Rhinolophus ferrumequinum: one gene and its partners. The protein of the gene in region 2 interacts with the protein of the main gene of each other region in a pairwise test. Links are inferred from orthologs where the notes say so. Each region holds a gene or a part of one and is shown on either strand. Other genes may lie near its edges.

Evidence for each region.
Region 1: the proteins of AP4B1 (region 2) and TEPSIN interact in binary tests that used the Homo sapiens proteins (3 or more experiments, as listed by UniProt). The link is inferred for Rhinolophus ferrumequinum from reciprocal best matches to the Homo sapiens genes AP4B1 and TEPSIN.
Region 3: the proteins of AP4B1 (region 2) and ZNF576 interact in binary tests that used the Homo sapiens proteins (3 or more experiments, as listed by UniProt). The two-hybrid records come from large-scale screens. The link is inferred for Rhinolophus ferrumequinum from reciprocal best matches to the Homo sapiens genes AP4B1 and ZNF576.

What each region holds. Positions count from the first base shown.
Region 1 is NC_046304.1:54,242,499-54,249,554, forward strand, and holds the start of TEPSIN (AP-4 complex accessory subunit tepsin), read right to left. Parts: upstream 3,073-7,056; 5' UTR 2,951-3,072; coding exon 2,717-2,950; intron 2,567-2,716; coding exon 2,473-2,566; intron 790-2,472; coding exon 722-789; intron 574-721; coding exon 495-573; intron 394-494; coding exon 322-393; intron 1-321. Other genes in the region: NDUFAF8 (NADH dehydrogenase [ubiquinone] 1 alpha subcomplex assembly factor 8), read left to right, coding at 5,305-5,388, 5,530-5,640. UniProt on the Homo sapiens protein: Associates with the adapter-like complex 4 (AP-4) and may therefore play a role in vesicular trafficking of proteins at the trans-Golgi network.
Region 2 is NC_046305.1:44,783,783-44,791,036, forward strand, and holds the start of AP4B1 (AP-4 complex subunit beta-1), read right to left. Parts: upstream 3,082-7,254; 5' UTR 3,063-3,081; intron 3,053-3,062; exon of another isoform or gene 2,995-3,052; intron 2,971-2,994; exon of another isoform or gene 2,819-2,970; intron 2,630-2,818; 5' UTR 2,553-2,629; coding exon 2,440-2,552; intron 1,657-2,439; exon of another isoform or gene 1,494-1,656; intron 1,017-1,493; coding exon 792-1,016; intron 335-791; coding exon 204-334; intron 1-203. Other genes in the region: DCLRE1B (5' exonuclease Apollo), read left to right, coding at 3,434-3,622, 4,188-4,353, 4,707-4,889.
Region 3 is NC_046298.1:40,635,842-40,643,782, reverse strand, and holds the start of ZNF576 (zinc finger protein 576), read right to left. Parts: upstream 3,072-7,941; 5' UTR 2,941-3,071; coding exon 2,912-2,940; exon of another isoform or gene 2,896-2,911; intron 2,863-2,895; exon of another isoform or gene 2,720-2,862; intron 2,551-2,719; coding exon 2,453-2,550; intron 1,042-2,452; exon of another isoform or gene 824-1,041; coding exon 396-823; 3' UTR 1-395. Other genes in the region: IRGQ (immunity-related GTPase family Q protein), read left to right, coding at 3,976-4,505, 5,804-7,139. UniProt on the Homo sapiens protein: May be involved in transcriptional regulation.

The DNA of each region.
Region 1 (7,056 bases), on a different chromosome or scaffold from region 2:
CCCACGCGAGCCTCGCAGCAGACCGGGCTAGTGGTGTCCGTGTCACAAATGCCACTTGGCTCTAAGTCACCTGTCACAGGCAGCCCCCACCCTCTGCCCTTACCCCCTCCAAGGAGCCAGGGGCTACGGGCCTGAGCTCAGGACTGAGCCCTCACCTGTGGGTTAGGCAGACCCGGCTGTACGTGCCCTGCCCTCCCGCAGAGCCGAGCAAGGTGGCGGGAGTCAACACGGGGGTGCCAGGTTCTAGCCCTGCCCTCCACGCCCCTGGGCTGAGGCAGCATCTGGGCCCAGCCCCACACCCGAGCGCCCACGCTCACCCACCTGTGTGGCCTGGATCCTTGCTGTAGCCGAAGCCCTGGAGGGTGCCCTCGGGTCTGGACTGGGAGCCCATGCCTGTGGGAGAGCGCACGTCATCCTGGCATTGGGGCGGGGGAAGACCCCGAGCCCCCAGGATGGAAAGCCCGTGACAGGCCTGCACACGGTGGGTCACATACCTGCTGGAGGCAGGACCCTGGGAGACTGGGAGGGAGGCGGAGGGGCCAAGGCGTCCGAGAACAAGGTGCTCCCCAAGTCCTAGACAGGAGGCAAGGGCACTCAGCGGGGCCGCACGTCTGCCCAGCGTGCCCCCACAACCCTGCCGCTTTCCCCAAGCGCCAGCCACACACGGGGCTCTGGTCCAACAGCAGGAGTGCAGCTGGGGTGACCTGGGTCCTCGGCTCACCTGGGCGGCCGCCCGCACCTTCTGGTACAAGCTGCTCCCATGGAGAGGGTCCGGGGGCCCAGTGAAAACTGCAGGGCAGAGGCAGGAGGGGCAGCATTACGGCCCGCCCAGGTCAGCCCTCCCTGCGTCCCGGCAGGGTGAGCTTTCTGAAACATTAGGTCTGACCTTGAATCCCGTGTGACATCACTTCCAGGCCCCCAAGCCTGGGGGAGCCCCACTTCCCAGAACACCTCCTCTGAGACCCACCGCCCCATGTGGCTTCTCAGACACGCACCATTGCCCCCTGGCCCTCTCTGCCCGCCCCCACAGGCCGAGGCCAGGATCCAACTTCCAGAACGGCACCACGGCGTCTTCTCACCCCACTGCCTCTCCCCGGCGTTTCTGCCTCGGCCACCCAACTGCCTCCCCTCAACCCTCTCTCCAGCCAGAGGCGACACGAATGGGGTCTTGCCCAATTCAAAACCCGTTAGGGGTTCCCAGGGACTTGAGGATAAAACCCCAAGTTCCTATCACGGCCTGAAAGACTCCTGTGGCCCTGCGCCAACCTCAGGCTTGCCAGGCTCCCCGTCAGAAAGCTTCCGTTGTGGCCAATCAGGTTGCCTCGGGGCCTTTGCACACGCCGGAGGCCCCCATCTCTGCAGGGACCTCATCCGCCTCATCCTTTCAGGCTCCTTGCTTCCTCATCACAAACACACGTCCCTGCCCAGCCCCTGGTGCCAGCCCCACGGAGTGCAGACGACGGCCCGTGCCCAGCCAGGGCTGCCCGTCAGAGGCCGAACCAGCCAGTGGAAGGCGAGCAGCTCCCTGCTGTCCCAGCCACAGCTCCCACCTTCCCCACAGGGCCCAAGACTCGAGCTGCAGGGGACCCACTGCTGGGGCCCAGACGCTCGGCCCTCCTGTGTGAGCACGGCCATCCTCTTTTAGCCTCGTCCCCAACCGCTCTGACAGCCCCTGGGGCCATGCTCAGAGCTCATGGGCACCGATGGTAACTGGACAGATTTTGGTGCCAACAAAGAACCACGGTCAGCTGCAGGTCTCCGATAAGCGAGCGGTGGTCAACAGCGGCCCGGCCCCTCCCTGGCGCTGCCCTCTCGGGGACGGGGACGGCTCGGGTGAGGGTGGCTCTGGCCCTTCCAAAGATTCCTTCAGGGTGCATGATGGGGTCCGAGGGCGGAGCGCCCCCTAGAGGGCCCCAGGCCGATTCCTGCCCCACCAACTGGGAGATCTCCAGCCACGGGCCCCCAAGTCCCTGTTGGCAAGACAGCACGCCGGTCCTGGCCTGGGCGTGAGGGATGGGGCCCCACTCAGACCCACCTAGGGCCTGGAACGTGACCGGCCAGCACCCACCTCTCCTGACCAGCCTCCCATGGCCCTTCCCTTGTGAGCGGAAGGCTTACTAGCTCGCCCTCGGTCTCGGGCCCTTAGGGGCAGCCCGGGGACAGAACCCATGGCAGGGGAGGGCGGTGTAGCCGTTTGCCGAGCACCACTGCGTGCCAGGCACTGGGGACAGATGTGCAAAGTCTGGCAGGGCACAGATGGAAACGGTAATGATGCGCCAGTAGCGGGCACAGCAGCAGACGGCAATGCCCTGGAGGAGCGGGATGGTGGGCGGAGAGGAGTGCCCACAGGTGGGCAGGCAGGCAGACGCTGGCGGAACAGGGTGAGGTGGCCGGCTAAGGGAGTCTGGCTGAAGCCTGTCCGGGCCGCCCTTCTCCCTGCGGCCCTCCCTCTGGGCTGTGCGGCCCCCACACCTGCAGCTTCCTGGATGAAGGCGGGATTGCGCTTGAGGATGAGCAGGAAGGAGGAGGAGCCATGAGCACACAGATGGAGCAGGATCTTCAGCACCTGCGGGCACAGTCACGGGGGGCTGGGCTGGGCCCCGAGGGCGCCTCGAGGCACAGCCCGACCACCCCCTCGCTCCTCATGGCCCCGGGCCGGAGCTCAGGCCCGACCTGGCCGCGAGGATCAGCCTGCAGGGCCCACTCACCGCCTCACCTTGAGCTTCACGCGGCCGGAGCCGCTGTGCAGACGGTTCAGAAGGTACTCCAGCAGGCACTGGCTGTTGCCCAGGGACTCGTGGGAGATTTCTGGGAGGCGCTCGGTTAGGGAAGGAGCGAGCTGAGCCCAGGCCTCGCCGCCGCTGAACTTCTCAGTGTGCCCTCCCTGCAGGCACCCATCCCAGGACCTGGTTTTAGGAGCGTCACGCTTTACAGTGTCCTGGGCCGTCATCAGGAATGTGGCTTTCAGACCCCGCCCACACCTTTACTATGGGAAAGGGGCCATGGAACCCCCTCCGGATGGGAGAACCCCAGGGACCCTGCGTGCTGCTCTGGGCCCCCATGTGTGGACACAGGAAGGATACTGGCGATCTCCTCAAACAGGTAGCCCGGGCACGGGACGTCATCATCCGACGTTCCCTTTAGGAGAACCGGGAGCTGAAAGGCAGCAAGAGCCCCGCCCATAAGTGACCGTTGTACACAGGGTGGCCCCACAGCCACCAAAGAGGCCGCCATTCCTGAAGGGCTGTTGGGAGTCCTAGCTCTTGGGGTTCCTGGGAGTATGGATTTCCACGTATGTCATTGTTGGCACGCCACCTGGTTAAGGCCCCGGCGAGGACAGCAATGGTCCCACAGCCACAAAGAGCCTGCTGGAGCCTCCCTTCTGGACCATCGTGGTAACACCACTCTGCTTGGGTCAGGATGTGTGACATGGCCCCCAGGCCTCTATGCTTACAGACATGCAAGACATTTTAAAGGCACCTTGAATACATCTACTTCTCATGTAGCAAAAACAAAAAAGCTCGGGGTGAGCCCCTTTTCCATGCAGGGGACTGGGAATGGTCCATCTTTCTAGAGCACAGATCGGCAAACGTGATATATCCACGAGGCCTGACCCCCCCCCAACAATTCCACTTCCGGGAACAGACCCCACAGAAATAACCCACAAGAAGTGCCTATGCTGTGTCTTACGTTTATTTGTTAGCACAAACATATTCACATGACGCGTGGACTCGTTAGCACAAAGACATACTGTCTCCAAGGATGAAAATCAGCTGGGGAGCGTGAGCCTCGGCGTGAGAGAGGACACAAGACCTCAGGGACACTCAGAATGCAGACTGTTAGGTGCTGCCACAGATTACAGTTTGAACAGCAGCTGTCTACAGTGTCACAACAACACGCGCCTGAATGTCACGCGAGGCTGCGGGCACACACCACTCACACCATCTGTCCACCGAGACCCACCGTGGAGCTGGAGAGGTCTGTAGAACCACGTAACTCTGGGCGTGGAAAAAAGCCTCTGTGCTAAGAGAACTGACCGGGCTTCTAGCAGCACGAGGATGACCCCAGCCCCTGTAAAACGCCTGCCTGAGAAAGCTCCTCGCGCCAGGAGAACTGACTGTTCACTCTGGCCAACACCGGGCGACAAGCCGCGACCTCCCTTTCTTGGAGCATTTACTGGAAAGGGCTTACAGCTGTGAACACGGATGTCCTACAAGCCAGGAGCGCCTTCCTCAAGGACCTGAACCACCATGAAGGCAGGGTCTGTCTCCCAGTCCCTGGGGGGCGATAGGACCCGGACCTCCGTAACCGCTGGTGGGCGGACACAGCTGGCCTGACAGCACTCACCCTACCCAGCCCCTCAACATGTGTCACGGGAGCCCCACTCTCCCCTCATTCTCCCTTTAAAACGCCCAGTCCTCTGAAACACATGGGAACGGAGCTCAGCGCCTTCCCCCACGGGCACAGTCACTGTTTTCTCCTGCTTCCCAGACTAGCGCCTGGCCATTGTTTATCCTGAACACGGTTCGCTGTGCTTCTCTCTGTGAAGCCGCTTTAAGCTGGGAAAGAAAACAGAAATCCGCGACCCCCAGCTCTCTTCCTATTCGGGTTCTGTTCAGTAGCCTGACTGTCCCCCAGTGGACCTGACGCCGGGTCGGCCTGACCTGCCCACGCCACGTACACGGAGTCGACTCCCGCAGCCTTGGGAGGGGGTGATGGGTAAAGGGGACTGGAGGGGCCGGGAGAGTTGGAATGGAGAGAAGGGGATCAGAGGAAAACGGAGGGGACGCCGAACCCGGGAGGAGCCGCAATTCGGTGATCCCGGCGCACCAAGGAGAAAGACAGCTCTAGCCCAAGTCAAGCCGGGGGAAGCGGCACGGAGCAGGGCCAGGCCGCCCGCACTCACCCGGTGCAGTAAGCTCAGGCGGTCCCGCAGCTGCGGCGTAGCCGCCATGATCACGGTCACCTTCCGGCCCCGCCCCACTTCCGTCCGTCCCCGGGCTCCTCCAATCACCGCGTGGGTCTGGCCCAGCTCACCAATCGCTCGCGTGGGCGGGCCCTGAGGTCTACTACGGTAAACAATTTGAGCCTGAACCAATCCGAAGTCCGAGATCAAAAACAGACAAGCATACAAGCCAATTGTAAGGCTCTAAGGGACCACACGCGCGGTTCCTGACAGAAGCCTGGCCAATTAGAAAGCGTAGGGAAAGTTATGGGCGGAAGCGTCGACCTATCAAGCTGTTGAGCGCCGGAAGAGGACGGACCCAAGATGGCGGCGCCCACGGATGCCAGGAAGAGCCGCTCATGTCCGGGAACGGAGTGGTGTGGGGGCGAGTGCGAAGCCGCCTCCGCGCCTTCCCCGAGAACCTGGCGGCCTGTGGGCGCGAGGTAAGGAGCCGTCGGGGTGGGGTGGGGGGTAATGCCTGCGGCGCAGGAAGGATCGCGCGAGACGGGACGGACAGCGGGGCGCTGACTGGGGGCAGGCGCGAGGGCCCCCGCGACCCTCGCCCGCCCCCGTCCTTCCCCCAGGCAGCGGCCTACGGCAGGTGCGTGCAGGCGTCCACGGCTCCGGGCGGCCACCTGAGGAAGGATCTTTGCGCGCAGGAGTTCGAGGCCCTGCGGAGCTGCTTCGCCGCCGCGGTAGGTGGGCGCCCCCCGCCGTCTCCCACTTCTCAGCCCCGCCTCGGGGGAGGGATCCGCTGGCCTTCCTCCCGTTCTTCCTGCGGGTGTTGGGTGCTCGCTGGTGCTTCAGACGCTGCACGCCGACCGACCAGCCCTCGCCGCGCGACCCCCGCCGCCACGGAGCTCGTGCATGTCATGAGCATGGTGACGGGGCGACGGCGTGGGTGCAAGCGCTTTGTAACTCCCTGTGGTGCTGTCGCCTGGGGGGAAAGCCCAAACCAACCTCAACCCAGGACTCCCAGCGGAGCACCGTTAGCGTCATTGGTGTTCAGCACCCCGCGTGTGTGCTGTGTGCGCGGTTTCAACCGCTGGTACCCCAGTGCTTGCCGAGGGGTTGCGTGGTACCCCAACTTCCCCCGCGCAACAACCCCATTTTACAGAGGGTGTAAGGAGAGCCCATAGGTCATTGTCCTCACAACCAAGGTGAGGACGGGCTGAGAAGCCCTCCAACCAGCGCGCTAGCCGGCTTTCACTGGCGTGGAAGTGGACTGTGCTGGAAACAGACTGGTCCTTCTCTTGGCGCTGGACTCTGTCCTGCCCGGTCATTCGACAGCAGGTCCCTTCTGTTTCTCAGCCAGGACGTTTTCTGACCCCTGTCTGATCAAATGCTATGCCAGCGAAAGCCTTGTGGAAATCCTCAAGCACTGTAGGCAAGTCAAGAACGTGTTGTGTTTACACGTTTTCATAAAGGACGTGGAGGAATAGGCTTGGAGGAGACACGGACGTGACCCGAGGCGGGAGAGGCTGTCCGGGGACCCTCAAGGGGCGTCCCACAGCCCAAGGACGGGCTGCCTGCCCTGAGGCTTTAATGCGCCCCAGGTGTCCCCACCCCAGGTGCCCCTGGCTCGGTGGGTCAGACGGGGGCTGTGAGGGCAGAGGCTGGCTGGGCAGCACTCGCGTCCCGGCAGTTTGCTGCTGCTCCGGGATCCGAAGCAGAATGGCTGAGAGCACATGGATGTCTGCTTCCCAGCTCAGGGAGGCAGTTCACATACTCACTTCCCGGGGGGCTCAGGGAACTCACGCACCTTCCTCAGTGGTTAGCGCATTGTCCTGCCCCCTCCAGTCACCGTGTCACCAGCCTCATCCATGTGGCTGTTTATCCGAGGTGGCACCTGTCCCTTGAACTTGCTCCTACCTCCTGGTAGCTTCCCTGCTTTGTAGCCCTCCCCAGGGAACAAGGCAGACCTCGCTCTATGGTTACCGGTGGGAAGGCTTCACGTGTGAGACAAAGGTCGAACACTCGTAGCTACACACAGGTCTTTCTGCACCACCTGTTGTGGGCAGTCAGGAGTGACCTGTTACAGGTGCCTGGTCACGTGACTTACCTCCCGCTCCTCGGCCTCCATCCCCTAAAGACATCCGAGGGAGGAGCCC
Region 2 (7,254 bases):
TAAGTAGCTAAGGCAAAGGATCTCACCTGGGCCCCAAAGAAAGGATTTCTCTAATCTCAGAAAATACCAAGCCCTGCATCCTCCTTAAAGAGACATGCACAGAAATAGGGCTACATTATTATTTTCTACCAAGGCTACGTAATATTTTACAAATGTGCAAGGCCAAATAAGTATTGATCAGGATGGATTACACTGAAACTTACCCACTTCAGATTCTCCGTGAAGATTATGCATCTTGGCACAACCAAGGACTGCCACCCTCCTGACGTATGAAGCCTTATCCCGCAGACCATTGAGAACAGGCTGTTGGATATATTCCTGCACACCCGGCATCCTAAGCAACACATCCGAGAGTCAGCCAGATCCTGAAATACTAGTTTTGACACAATTCAGCCCCTGTGCACTTAACAGAGGATTTAGGAGATTTTTGAATGTGCATCTATAAGATCATGAAGAATTGGAGAAAGCCGCTGCCAAACTTAAAAAGCCGTATTTGACTTTTCATTTGGAATAATGCTGCATCGGCAGCAAGAAAAAAACATACATAAATTGTTTAGATATCTTCAACCAAAACCAAAAACTATTTCACCTAGAGAATGGAAAACTCCCTTTAATGAAACCATATGATACAGCTTTTTAAGCCAAAGCAATGGCTGAAAACTTGAGTTCAGGTTTCAACAGTGTTTCCCCCACTATGAAGGAGCTCACGTAGACTGTCATTACTGAAAACCTGCCCCATGACCTCCAGAATTCATCAGCCACTAAGAAACAGACAGGAAAAGGATGCTCACCTGAGACTACACATACTCCGTAGTGCCAGCCCTCGCACCATTGGGTTGGGGTCCGAACAGTCTTTGCAGAGTGTATTGATGGCCAGGAGAGCCAGATCTGGTTTCAGGGGGGCATACGTGCACATGTACAGATAAACCAACTTCTTCTGAACGATATCTACAGTGGCACTCGCCTTCACCATTTCCATGAAAACACCAGACACGTCCAAGCCCTGAGTCATGTGCCTGAGACCAACACATAAAGCAGCAAAAAGTAAAATACCTCATTCCCAACCTACAACGGAGGGCATTTTATTTTATTCACGTCCTGGTTATCCAACTCAATTGTGATCTCTGAGAGGGAAGCAACCAGGTCTACCTTGTCTACTATATTACACAAAACACCAAAGGCCTGCAATAAACGGCCTTCTATTTATTCAAAGAACACTTATTAATTTCTAGTATATTTCAGTGAAATTCAGCTTTTACACTCCAGGGCTACACTCTGGGGACATAATCTTGAAAAAGGCACGGTCTCAGATCTCTAGGAACTCAGTGTCTACTAAGGAGCCAGACAAGACCACCACGAATTACAGTACGCTACATAAGTACTATGACAGAAGTCACAGAGGCAGTGAGGATCCAGAGATCTACTACTGCCAGGAAGTCATACAATGTTTCTACAGAGGAAGTAATACTTTAGCTGAATGAGCAGGAGCTCACCAGGCAGGTGTGATAGTACATGCTGTGAGGTGCGTAGACGCGAGCAAGAATGGTCCAATTCTTTGGAAAGTCTGCAGGCAGCTGAGTTAGCCCAGTGTCCCTTGGGTGCTACGATAAGTTTGGACTTTATTCTGTAGCTCACGGTTCCTCAAACTATGGTCTCCTATAGGAATCAGATGGGATATTTGTTTAAAATGCAGATCCCTGGGTTCCATCCCGCCGTACTGAAATCAGAATTACTGGATTGGATGACAAATTTGCGTTTTTTAAAAAAGCACCCCAAAGGACTCTGGTGCACAATGAAGCTTGTGATCCACAGGAGGCCAGACATGTTATGTTTAGATTTATACGCTGGAAAAATCATCCTGACTGAAATGAGGAGGCAATGTGACCTACTAGTATGCTACGGCAATTGCTTTGGTAATGAAACCAGGACGGGCAGCAGTGTCGAAAAAGGGGGGCGGGGGTGGGTATTTAGAACTATAAATCCATGCCATCTGACTTGAGAAGTGAAGATCAGGTGTCATCAAGATTGACTCCCACGCTTGGTCAGCTAGGTGGTGACATTCGTCAACACAATCGTAAGTGGAAGAGCAGGTTTGGGGAGGGGGAAGGATGTGGGTGCTATTTTGCATGTCTCTGGAAAAATATCCAGGTGGAAATGCCCAACAGGCAGTAGGATGTGCGGGTCTGACGATAAAAAAGGAGGTCTGTACTAGATATATTTATTATCGGTCTGAGAGTCAGCAGTGTGAGATATGGATGAAACCACCCAGATGAATAAACGAAGCCAAAAAATAAGTCTCACAAGGGAGGCTGAGATGGCACTCCAGGGAAGCAGGAAAACCAAACGATAGCACTGGCACGTGTGCAAGTTCATTTTCCCACGTGAGGTGAGACAGCCCCGATGGGACCCCAGCGGGGGAGTGAGGGCGTCGGGTGGTACCTAATCACTCGCTGGATGACATTCCGGTAGCGCAGCCTATCAGCCTGAATGTGAGGGTTGCACAGAGCCTTCTTCAGCTCCTTGACCACGTCCTCGGAGCCGAGGTACGGCATCTTCTCGGACAGGCCCGGGGCAATCCCCACAGCCCCCTAGGAAACTCGTGGGCTCCTTCCAGCCCCGATGTAAGAACCTGGGTAAAGGAAATGTCAGTCAGAGAAGAGACTACAGCCGTGACCTCGCCCCAGCCGTGGCTTCCCCAGGGATGGGCCACGCTCAAGCTTCGGTCCCCTCCGCTCCCCGGCGGGCCCCACCCTAGGCCCTCCGGTTCCTTCCGGGACCTGCCGGCCGGTTCGCTCCACCCACAGGTCTCTCGCACTACCTTTAGGCCCCCCGCTCAATTCCCAGCCCGGCAGCCGACCGTCCGCAGACCCCTCCCTCTCAGTTCCAGCCTTTGGGGTGCCTCCACGCGGTTGCCGTCACGGATAAGCCAAAGGACGCTTTCTGCGGAAGTCCCGCCTCCTCTTCGAGAGACCACGCAGAGCTGCTGCCACTCACCCTCTCCCAGAGAGCGCCGAGCGGAGCCTGGGCCCCGACCTGTGGGTGCCCTTCCCCCAACCTCTCACCTCCGGGCGCAGCCGCGTAGCTCCCTCTAGTGGAGCTGCAGCGGACGATCGGAAATCGGCTGCTTCGGCCTGTCTCCGCCCGGCCGCGCGCGCTTTGAGTGGAGGGCTCCGGCTCCCGCGCGCGGTTAGGCATGGCGCTCTACTGAGCGACTTCCGCGGCGTGCGATTCCACCCCCGGACTCCACTAAGCATGAGCACTTCCTTCTTTTTTCTGCACATTCTAGTGACTGATTCCTCTTTGGGCTGGCTTTCCCTTAGGTTCTCTGGGCCTGTTCTTGCCACAGCGTGACTTTTTTCAGGGCCGTTGTAGGAGGCTCACGCAGGAGCTCTATTCCTATGAAGACCCCATTGGTGGTTCCAGCGCCGCCACCATGAACGGAGTCCAGATCCCCCATACGCCCATCGCTGTGGACTTTTGGAGCCTGCGCCGGGCTGCTTCCGCACGGCTTTTCTTTCTGTCCCACATGCACTCGGACCACACCGTGGGGCTGACTAGCACCTGGGCCCGACCCCTCTACTGCTCCCCAATCACTGCTTTCCTCCTGCATCGTCACCTACAGGTATGGGGGGGCTGGAGTCGGCCTCCGAGCGCTGGTCTAGGGATCAGGGTGGGGACTGCCGATCTGTCACTGCCTTGGAGTCCTATGGACCAGGAGGGACTGATTGTTACAAATGCGGGAGTTGGAACCCAGAATTGCATTTTTAGCCCAGGATAGAAGTGTGGCTTCCAACTGGCAGGCTGGGATGTTACAGCTGTAAGTTAGGGAGATCTTCTAGTCCAACTAAGGAAACTCGTTCCACCTTTTCACATAAGCTAGGCCAGGATTTCCCAAACTTGCGGCATCACAAGAATTCATCTAATGTTTTGGGTAGATATACAGATTCTCCAGCACTTCGTCTCTTCCCACTTGCGATTAAGTAGATAATAGCTGGTGCCGGTCCTGGAAATATGGTTGGAATTTTTAAAAAAGATGCCCCAAGGTATTATTATGATAAGGAAAGTTTGAGAATCGCTGTCTAGATGGTCAGCATTCCCTGATTTCGGAAAGGGATAATTTCTGGGCCAGGGAGGTATCAGGGAGGGGAATCTGTGTTGACGGGATGACCAATTATTTATTTCCTCAGGTATCTAAGCAGTGGATCCGAGCCCTGGAGGTTGGTGAGAGCCATGTCCTGCCTCTAGATGAAATTGGGCGAGAGACCATGACCGTAACCCTAATGGATGCCAACCACTGCCCTGGCTCTGTCATGTTTCTCTTTGAAGGATACTTTGGAACCATCCTCTACACAGGTGGGCCTCTGAAGGGGTCCCTCCTACCTTCCCCACTTAGACACTACTTTTCTTGAGCAGCCTTAACTCATAATAGATGTCTAGAGGTCTCCTAGCTTCATTCCATGCAAGCATTCCATTCCATTCCTTAACTGAATTCCCACTCTTTAAGGGTCCAAACCTTGTCATGAGTATGAAAAAAACAGGAGCAAGATGGAGACATATCCACAAGGAAGCTGTACTCTACGTATTTGTTCAGTACCAGACTCTAGGATAGCTTTCCACAGGCCAGTAAGCAAATGCCCATCTGTTGTTGGAGAGCCTTGTGTTTTATACTTTTGTCTCTGACCCTCTGACACCATATATTCTTTCAGGTGATTTTCGATATACACCATCCATGCTAAAGGAGCCAGCCCTGAGCGTGGGGAAACAGATCCATACCTTATACCTAGACAACACCAATTGCAATCCAGCTCTGGTTCTTCCTTCCCAAGAAGAAGCCGCCCGCCAGATTGTCGAGCTCATTCGAAAGCACCCAGAACATAATGTAAAGATTGGTGAGTAGTTTTCTTTCCTGTTTTTTTCACCCACAGCTAGTACATCTAGGTTTGGGGGCAGATGGGGAGTCCTCACATCTTTTAAGGCTTTGTGCAGCTCTCCCGTTCTTCACGAAACCTACCCTGACCATGTTATTTAAAGTTGCCACCTGTCTACCATCCCTACGCTCACAGCCCCCACTTCTGATCCCCTGCATCAGTTCGATTTTGTTCATAGCACTCGTCACCTTCCCACATACTCTGTGTTTTAATATGCTATTGCTATTGTCTATCCCCACTTCCCGTGGCACGCACACACCCCAACATAAAGTCCTTGAGAGCATGGGTGGAGGTGGGAAGAAGCCTTGTGTGTTTGTAGAAGAGAAGCAGCAGCTAGTGTGACAGGCACACAGTGGGTGAGGAGGCTGGAATGGCAGGAGGGGCTGAAGTGCTTGTAAGACTTTTTGAACTTGATCCTAAATGCAACCATTGCTCTTAGGACAAAGAGCTTTGATTTCAGTAACAGAGGGACAATAGTGCACTCGTCACCTTACAAGGGATTCCATCATTTACGTATTTATTGTATTTAGCTTTTATTATCTGCCTCCTCCTGCTAGACTGTAAGTTCCACAGTGGCAGGGCTCTTTGTTTTACTAACGGATATATCCCAAATGCCTAGATTAATGGCTGATGAGGCATTCCATAAGTATTTGCTATGAGTGAATGGAGTTTATCAGTATGTAGATATTCAAGTCAATGTTGTGCTTAAAATTAGATACACTGAAAACCCAACCGTATGCTTGTTCTAGTAATTCCACAATAGTACAAGACATTTTGGGGACTCTTCTTTTGGAATTGCCTTTTAAGATAGTTTATGAAAATCAATTATTGTTTTTAAAAATGTAATAGATCTAGTTCTAAATTTTTTTATTGTTTACAAAATTATAATAAATCCACAAAAGGAAAAAGATTTGCGCCACGATGAATATTTTAAAAGTATATGCCCCATCTCTGGAAGGAGTTTCAAAGTAGAGTTAAACAAAGTCATTGAAAAAAAATTGTACACCTTCCAGGGTGGCTACCAGATTAATTGAGAAATATCCCCTCCTCTCAGGACTGCTAACTATTCTTAGAGTTTTCTTTTCTTTTTAATTTATTGGGGCGACAATTGTTAGTAAAATTACATAGATTTCAGGTGTACAATTCTGTATTACATCATCTATAAATCCCATTGTGTGTTCACCACCCTATTCTTAGAGTTTTCAATGCAGAGTTTTCCCAGAGAAGCACAGCTGGCTAGGAGGGTGCTGTAGTAGGGCTTTATTAATTTTGCAAATATATAATAAGCCCCTCCTATGTGCCAGGTATTCTGATAGGCAATGGGACTAGAAAGATGAATAAAATATGAGGGCTTACAGTCTAGTGGTAAAGGACCTAGAAGAGGTTTAAAAAAAAGGTGGGGAGGGGGCGCAATAGGGAGAGAGAAAAGAAAATCAGCTATATTCGTGCCATGATGAAGAATCAGGTAGATATAAAAGAAGTATAAGTTGTTTAAAGGAGTTCACAATCTGGTTATGGACTTGAAACATACCTCCAGAAAAGGCCTGAAAACAACTGTGAAACAACATCTCCCATATCTGTTACCGTAACCATTACCCAAATTCAGGCCTCCCTTTTTTTCTGTATAAGTATTGTGTGGGTTTCCTAACTGGTACTTCTGCTTTCAGTGTCTTCTTCTCGAGACCATTGAATAACACTGCTGCCACATTTTTTCCCCCCAACACCCTGATTATATTATTCCTGTGATTTGAATGAGCCGTTTTCCTGCTTCAGACTCTTCAGTGGTTCCCCTTCACTTACAGAATTAAGTCCACGCTCCTTAGCAGTACATAAAGGCCCTGTATTGTATGACCCCTCTTAGTGGCATTTCTTATCAGTACCTTCTTTGTACTTTAGTAACACCAAACTGACCTCTCTCCAAATGTTCTCTACCAGGTTAAGTTGGACCCATCCTTTAAGACTTAGCTCAGTTGTCATTTTCAGGAAACTTTCCCTCTGTCAATGGGTAGATACGTTTCTGTGCCCTCATCATGCTGTGTGAATGTCTCTAATTAACATTGCCCTTAACCACGTGATTTCTGGGTTCCCATGTCGATTAGCTCCTTGAGGACTGAGACTTTTTGTTTTCACACTGCTTAACACTTGCTAGATACTTTCCTTTGTTGAACTGAATGAATGAGTGGATTCTGTGTTAACCTCCCTCTACCCCATTCTCCATATATTATAGCTCAGCTCAAATGCCATCCTCTCCCTGATGGACTGATTGCCCTGTTAATTTTGTGTATTTTTGTTAACTGTTTGGTTGAAGTATTAGGATTTCCTGAGA
Region 3 (7,941 bases), on a different chromosome or scaffold from region 2:
CCACCCATTCAGGCACAAACCCAGGGCAGTTTGCTTCTACAGCCCATGGCATTCATCTGGGCAGAATTAAAGGTGATTACACAATCTGCAGCTACTTGTGAGTTCAAACTATTTAATTGGGAATGAGGGAGATACAAATAACAATTTTCCCTCTTGCTCATTTTTTTTCTCTTAAACAAAAGATCTCCCTATTGTCTGATTTTCCTATTACTCTGAAGGTCTTTGTGTCCTCCAAAGACTGAAACTCTAAATGAGCATCTTCTGGGTCCTATTTACCAGGAGCCCTTTGCCTTTCCAGGGAGGGAAGCAAGTCCCTCAAAAGGCCTGTCCCATATCAGAGGTGGGTCCCACTGGCTGCAGAGCCTCCATTGCCCTAGGGAGGGCTGAGGCTGCACTCAGAGCTCCCCCCGGGCATGCCGGATGTAGTGTTGATGCAGCCCAGCTTCCTGGGCAAAGTCCTGACCACACTCAGTGCAGGCGAAGGGGCCAGGAGGGTCGCGGGTCTTGTGCGCCTGGCGGTGCTGCCTCAGAGAAGCGGCCTGCCCAAAGGTCTTGCCACAGTCAGGACAGGGGAAGGTGGGCTGGGCAGTGGTGGGTGCAACTGGCAGGGAGGGCCTGGCGGCTGGACCGTGGCTGCGCTGGTGGGCGATCAGGGCCTTGGAGGAGAGGAAGGAGCGGGCGCAGGTGAAGCAGATGAAGAGGGCCCCCTGCAGCTTTTGGGCCACGAAGTCCGCTGGGTGCTCCCGCTTCATGTGACGCTCCTGGAACTTGGAATTGGCGAAGGTGATGAGGCAGCGGGTGCATTGCAGGGCCCCCAGATGGCCTGAGGGACGTGGGGAGAGGTCGGGGGAGGCCAGCAGGAGTCTCCAGGACCTCTCCCAAACCCCAGAATCATGCCAACAATTAACATTCAGTGCTTACTATGTGCCAGGCTGTATGCCAGGGCTGGATAGTGGTACAGGCAAATTATTATTGGACCTGTTTTACGGATGATCAGGCCGAGGCTCCAAAAGGTTGGGCAACTTGTCCACAATCATGAGGCTAGGAAATGAAATGGAGTCAGGACTGGAACCCAGGGAGTCTGCCCTTCCATCAGAGCTGTGTTATTTACAGCACAGCCTCTGGAGCCAGACTGCCTGGAATTGAATCCTGGCTCTGCTACTTCCTAGGCAGGTTCAACAGTTTCCTCATCTGGAAAATGGGGTTAAACCGTATCAGCATCTACTTCATAGGGTTGTTGTGAGGAATAAATGAATGAATTTATGTAAAGTGCTTAGAATAGTCATACACCATGGTTTGCAATTCTTACTATTGAGAAAGAGAAAAGCAGCCCCACAGCCAGGAGCCGGCCTGGCACTCACAGATAGGCTCCTGTTGAACATACACAATGTCACAGAACATCCCCAGAAAGGCTACTCTCTGACTGACATGAATCCAGACAACAAGACCATGCCATGATAGCATGTGAACACAAAATGGGAACATTTTCCAAGCCACAAAAATGACCAAATACCCTCCGTCCTGGCTAATATATGAGTGACTTCTGCTTTACCAATCACAGCTTGTGCCTTGCTTTGTTCCTCTGCCTTCTAGATTTTTTAAGATAGCCGACCATTCAATTGCCCCTGCTTCCTGTCACTATCCAATCCAGAGCAAAACCCTTTGAATTCTCCGCAAAATCACCTACCACAAACCCAAATCCTATAATCAGTCCTTTGTAACTATTACTGGGATGCCCCACAGTGCCCCCATGGTGTGTGGTGTGTGCTTCCTCTGCAGTGAGCAAGCAATAAACCCAACTTGTCCCACTACGGGTGTGCTCCTGCGGGGGGAGGGGGTCTTTGGCTGGAGGGCATTGACACTGGCTGTCATTGTTATAAATACTTAACCTGTTTGCCACATCTGAAAGTGGTAATAACCAATTTCATGGTGTCTGTTAGGAGGACTGAATGAGATAAGGAGTGATAGTTGCCTAGCACACAGCAAACATTCAGTAGAAACTGTTGCCATGATTATGTCAAACTGGCTACCTTCATTAGCCTCAAGCTTTCCTCTGTTCTGCTGCTAATCCCCGTAACAACCCTGTGAGGTGAGTAGTGGAACCCCTTCTGACACATTGGGAAACCAAGGCCCATGTTACACTGACAGTCTGAGGCAGAGTTGGGACTGGAACCTTGGGGCTCTTCTCACAGTCTCTGCTCTTTCCGTGCCACATCTCCCACCCCAAGCGTCTCTGGATGCCACTTTGCCCCTCTGAACTGCATTCCATTCATATTTAGGTGGACAAAGCAGGGTGGGTGCATCTGAGCATATGGGTAAGGATGGGGAGTGTCAGTTTCTGGTAAGGCAGCTCCCCAACAAGTGCCTGCAGCGCCTTGGACACTGAAATACTGTAGAAATCCTTTTAGCATCAGCTCCTGCACCCCACCCTCCTCTGGCCAGCTGTACTCACAGATGTCGCCTTTGGTACTGCGGGGACTCCTCTTGGACAAATCCTGCTGCTCCATGGTCTCTTCAGGGGGTGGGTCCTCCATGGTGACTAGGACCCCTCTGGTCAAGAGAGGAGTACACATGAGGAAATAGTAAATCAAATGAAGTCGCTCGTCTGTCCCCAGCCTTAGAGAGCCCGCTAATTCGATGACCTTTAATGTAGAGGCTCTCCGTGCCAGCTTTTGACTCCCCCCCTTCCCCGCGAGATACCATTTCCTTGAACTCTGACCTGATGGAGCTCTCACTAGAGAAGCTTCAACTCTCCCAAAAGATTGTGACTCCCCTGAGCGCCATCTCACCTGTGTGAGACCTAAGACCTACATCAGACTAGCTCCCTGAATTCAGAGCGCGGAACCCTTGATCTTTGACACCATCCTCCTCCCCGTCTCCTACCTGTCTTGAGACAGGTAGTGGTACCCACGCTTTAGCCCGCCTCGTCCCGGGAGACATCTTTCTCTGACATCCTGCAACTTGTTCCACCCAGAGCCCCCGCCTCCCACGCGCGATTTCAGCCGCTGTGCCCACTGCTTCAAGCACTGCCCTCGGTTCCCTCCCCAGGTTGGTAGCTCAGGCCTCTGCTTTTCTCCAGACAGCAGAGGGCTGCCTTTCGTTGTGCCTGTCAGTAGCCTGTCACAGCGCCACCACCCGGAGGGAAGCGGGATAGGGCCCACCGAGTCGCAAGGTCCCGGTGGTTTCCACTCCCTTTCGCCTGGTGAGCTTCTCGAAGCCGAGATCTCGGATTGCCAACCGGCAGTGATGAAGTCACTCCTACTCAGTCCTCAAAAATAACGGGAGGGGTCCTTCTCTGCACAGGGGTGCGTTATGATGACGTTACGAGACCCCCGTGCCGTACAGCTCTAAGTTTATTGCGCAAGGGTGCTAGGCGCTCCTGGCGCGCAGGCGCTCTGGCTCCCTCATTGTTTCCGCCCTTGCCGCAGCCGGAGTTCAGGAGCGAGTGCACTTCGGTCGTTCTGCGCAGGCGCTGGGAAAGGCTGTGTCCCTAAGATCATGCTTCCAAGACACACCTCCTAAAAGGAGTGACGTAAGGTTAGATAGAGCCTGGATCCTGTCTAGACATCCCCAAATCCCGGTGCTCCACCCTCTTCGGCCTCTGTCCGCCCGACCCAGGGGCGGGCTTCTCAGCCGCTGACCCACTGCCGGCAACTGCGCTCTTCTGTGTGAAGGCTGTTTGCTCGGTTGGTGATTTGGGAGGCGAGGGGGACTGAAAAAAAAAAAAAATCTGTCCCTGAGGGAGGACGGGGCTGGAGGCCGGATTTCTGAGTTTTTGAAACAGAAGGGGAAACACATCCAGGAAAAGGCCTGGATAGGACTCGGGGTCCCTGGGGAATAGGGTCTGGGCGCCGGTTTTCTAGATCCTTGGGAGTGACAATCGAGAATGGAAGGAAGGGGGCAGGGTGGAGGACTAGGAAAGAAAATGGCTGGGTCTTCCTGACCTGGGTCTTCCTCACCCCTTGCTTCCCAGCTATGCCTCCGCCGCGGGGTGACGTGACCGCCTTGTTCCTGGGGCCTCCGGGTTCGGGAAAGTCCGCGCTGATCGCAGCGCTGTGCAACAAGGATGTGGAGATGGTAGATATCCCCGATGGACGGCCGGATCCCGGGGTCCCCAGCCTGCGAGCTGCGGGCCCAGGCCTCTTCCTGGGCGAGCTGAGCTGCCCCCCCGCAGCTCCGGGGCCCTGGGCCGCGGAGGCTAACGTGCTGGTACTGGTGCTGCCCGGCCCCGGGGGAAATGGCGAACCCTTGGCTCCAGCGCTGGGGGAAGCAGCGCGGGCCGCCATGGCGCGAGGGACCCCTCTGCTGGCTGTGCGGAACCTCGGTCCTGGGGATTCACAAAATGAAGCCCAGGCCCGGGATCAGACAGCCGCCCTGCTGAACAGCACGGGGTTGGGAGCCGCGCCTCTCTTCGTGCTGCAGACGGACTGCGGCAGCAGCGACAGCTGCGAGGAGCTGGAGCGCCTGCGGGGAGCTTTGCGGAGCCAGGCGGAGGCGTTGCAGAGGTGAGCGCGGCCTTTCAGTGTGGGTTGGGGGGACCTGGTCCTATACAGTCTAGACCTCACCCCACTGAAGTGATTTTTGACGTCTGCGAGGCCCCGCCCCCAACGAGTTTGGGACTAGCCTTGACGGGATACCTGCTGGAGGCCCTGCTCCCGCATCCAGGTCCCGCCCCTCAGCGCAGGTTTTGAGGTCAGTGAGGCTCCACCCAAGCGAGCGCTCTGTGCTTAACTCTTCTGTCATCTAGGCCCGGCCCTAGCCAGAGGCCAGCTGGAGGTCCGGACTTGTCATTCCAGGTCCCACCTGTGAGCGCTCTGTCACAAGCCCCACTTCCTAATGAATATTCTAGGAGAAACCAGGACCTATGGCCAAAATACTACCTCCAGGCAAAAGTTTGAAGGAGAGCTCACCCTCCCACCACAAGCTAGTGACCCTCGTGAAGATTTTACCTAAAGACTTGTACACTGTCAAGTCTTCCTTGCCCGCGCTGTCAGCTTGGTTCTCAAGCCATCCCAGTCGCCCAAAGCCACACCCTCAGTGAGCCTTGTTATTTCTGGGTGCTCTCCCCCACTTCCTTTTTCTAATCCCCTCTTGTTTCTGTGCCTTCTTGCTGGCTACCTCCTGAATTGTCTCCCACAACACGCAGTCCCCTCATTTCATAGATATTAAAAATGAGGGTGGGAGAGGGGCAACCCCTCCTCCAAGGCAACCTCTCCTCCAACGGCACCCCACTGCTTCTCTTTTTTCCTTAGCCACACCTCCTTGGTAGGAACTAGCAGATGAGGCTTCTCCCCTGGTCTTTATTCCTTTCCTTACACCCAGTCTCAGGAAAAAGTGTGCTTGGTGACTTTGCCCATGTCGAATAGTGAATAGTACTCGACTTTCATTAAGCCCACAATACAGTTGGGATTCTGTCTTTGCTCCAAAGCCCACTTTGTGTGTTTTGCCTCGCCCAGCACGGCCTTTTTTTGTTAACCTTGCAGGTCCCATGGAGAAGCCCCGCCCCCAAGTACTCTGTCTCCGGGAGGATTTAGGCGGGGTCCTGGTTTTAGGCTCTGTGAGAAACCTGATCTCAACAAGACGCCCTATTCCTGCTTTAAGCCCTATCCTTTTCTTTATAGTCCTGGTTTCTGTCGGCTGTGCCATTATTCGACCCCCTCCCTCCCTTTCCTGCTCTTGCCTCACGCGGGGATTATTCACAAAGCTCCACCCTTGTCATCATAGCCCAGTCCTGTCCCCCTAGCCTAGTTCTCCCGCGTTTAGCCTCTTTTGCCCTTGACTCCATCCTTTCCTGTCCCCGTAGGCTCCTGCCACCTGCTCAGGATGGTTTCGAGGTGCTGGGCGCAGCAGAGCTGGAGGCTGTGCGCGAAGCCTTTGAGACCGGTGGTCTGGAGGCGGCACTGTCTTGGGTTCGCGGTAGCCTGGAGCGACTGGGCAGCGCGCGGCTGGACCTGGCTGTGGCCGGCATGGCTGACGTGGGCCTTGTGCTGAACATGCTGCTTGGGTTGGATCCTGGGGACCCAGGGGCCGTGCCTGTTTCATTGCCCGCGGAACCCACGCCCTACCCAGCCCCAGAGCGCTCCAACGTGGTGCTCTGGACCGTACCTCTCGGCTCCGCGGGCACTGCTGCTGTCCCCCACCCTACCCATTATGACGCTGTCATCCTCGTTACTCCTGGGGCCCCCACTGAGGAGGACTGGGCCCAGGTCAGGCCCTTGGTGCTACCGGATGCACCGCTGGTCTGCGTGCGAACAGACGGCCAGGGCAAGGATCCGGAGCCTTTGGAAGAGGAGGAAAAGGCAGAGAAACCCGGCGGGGGCGAGAGCCTAGAGAACGCAGACGGAGGGGGGTTGGAGGAGGAATGCAGCGAGGGAAGGGAGAAACGGGGCACTGGATCACAGAAAGCAGGGAGTGGGGAAGGTTCAGAGAAAGCAGGCATCGAGAGTTTGCAGCAGGTTGGTGGCTCGAAGCAATCACGCAGCGGGGACTCGGAGCGTGCGGCTACCTGGAGCCCGGAGGACGATACATGGGAGGTACTGGAGGAGGCGCCGCCGCCGGTGTTCCCCCTGCGGCGGGGCGGACTCCCAGGGCTCTGTGAGTGGCTGCGACGCGCACTTGCCCCGGCCCAGGCTGGGGCGCTGCTATTGGCGCTGCCACCAATGTCTCCGCGCGCAGCCCGAACGAAGGTTGCTGCGCTGCGGGCTGGGGCGTGGCGCCCGGCTCTGCTGGCCAGCCTGGCGGCAGCGGCCGCACCAGTACCCGGGCTCGGCTGGGCCTGCGACGTGGCGCTTCTGCGCGGTCAGCTGGCAGAGTGGCGGAGGGCACTAGGACTCGAACCAGCGGCGCTGGCCCGACGCGAGCGCATGCTGGGCATGGCACCTGGGGAGCTGGCAGAGCAGACGCACTTCCCGGGCCCGGTAACGCGTGCTGAAGTGGAGGCGAGGCTGGGTGCCTGGGCAGGCGAGGGCACCGCTGGGGGCGCAGCGCTGGGGGCGCTCTCCTTCCTGTGGCCCGCGGGTGGCGCAGCAGCCACTGGTGGCCTGGGTTACCGTGCAGCGCACGGTGTCCTCCTGCAGGCGCTGGACGAGATGCTGGCAGACGCCGAGGCAGTGCTGGCACCCCATGCGCCTGCCCAGTGAGGGGTAGGGATCACAGTTGGGACTTCCTGAGTGCTCTGCTTCCTGGCTGCTTTGCTCCGCCAGGGGCTGAGGACTCCAAGTCCCGTGTAGAGTGAGGGGGGTTGGGGGTCCAGTCTCTGGCATGGGATATCTGAGCCTCTAAGCTAACAGCACCGGGCCAGGCACTTCAAATCCTGGGTGTTTGAATGGGATGAGGCTCTGACTACTGGTTGGGGTATGTGGCTTCCAGTCACCCGGATTCCTGAGTCTTGAAGGAGAATAGAATCTGGAGGTCAGGACTCCTGATTATTCTGGGGATCACTGGGCAGGACCCCCAGACTTGTGTTCTGAGGGGAGTTGAGGGGTTGAACTCCTAGAAGAGGGTATATCTTGGTCTTCAAGGGAGTAGAAACTGGATCTATTATTGGATGTCTAGTCCTCCAGGGGGAGGGGGAGAGGAAGCCCTGATTCCTGATAAGGGGCTCTCCATGTGCTGGGGATTCCAGTATGGAGGACTGGGTCTGGGAACTCCAGGGCGCTGGAGCCCCTGGACTTTGAGCCACAAAGAGACAGGTCTGTGTTTCCTTAGAATAGGCCTGCACACAGCCTCCCAGTTCCTCAAGAGGCAGTGGGCTTTGAATCATCATCGGGGGAGAGGGGAGGAACAGTATGGGTCCTCAGACTCCTGGATCCCAAGAGGACTATGGACCTTGGTTCCTAATTCCTGGATAGTGGGAGGTCTGCATCTAGAGGGAACGGGCTGTGTGACAGCTAGAAACTTGGGCCTTTCTTGATGAGTAGAGGGATATTTCATATTTGCTCA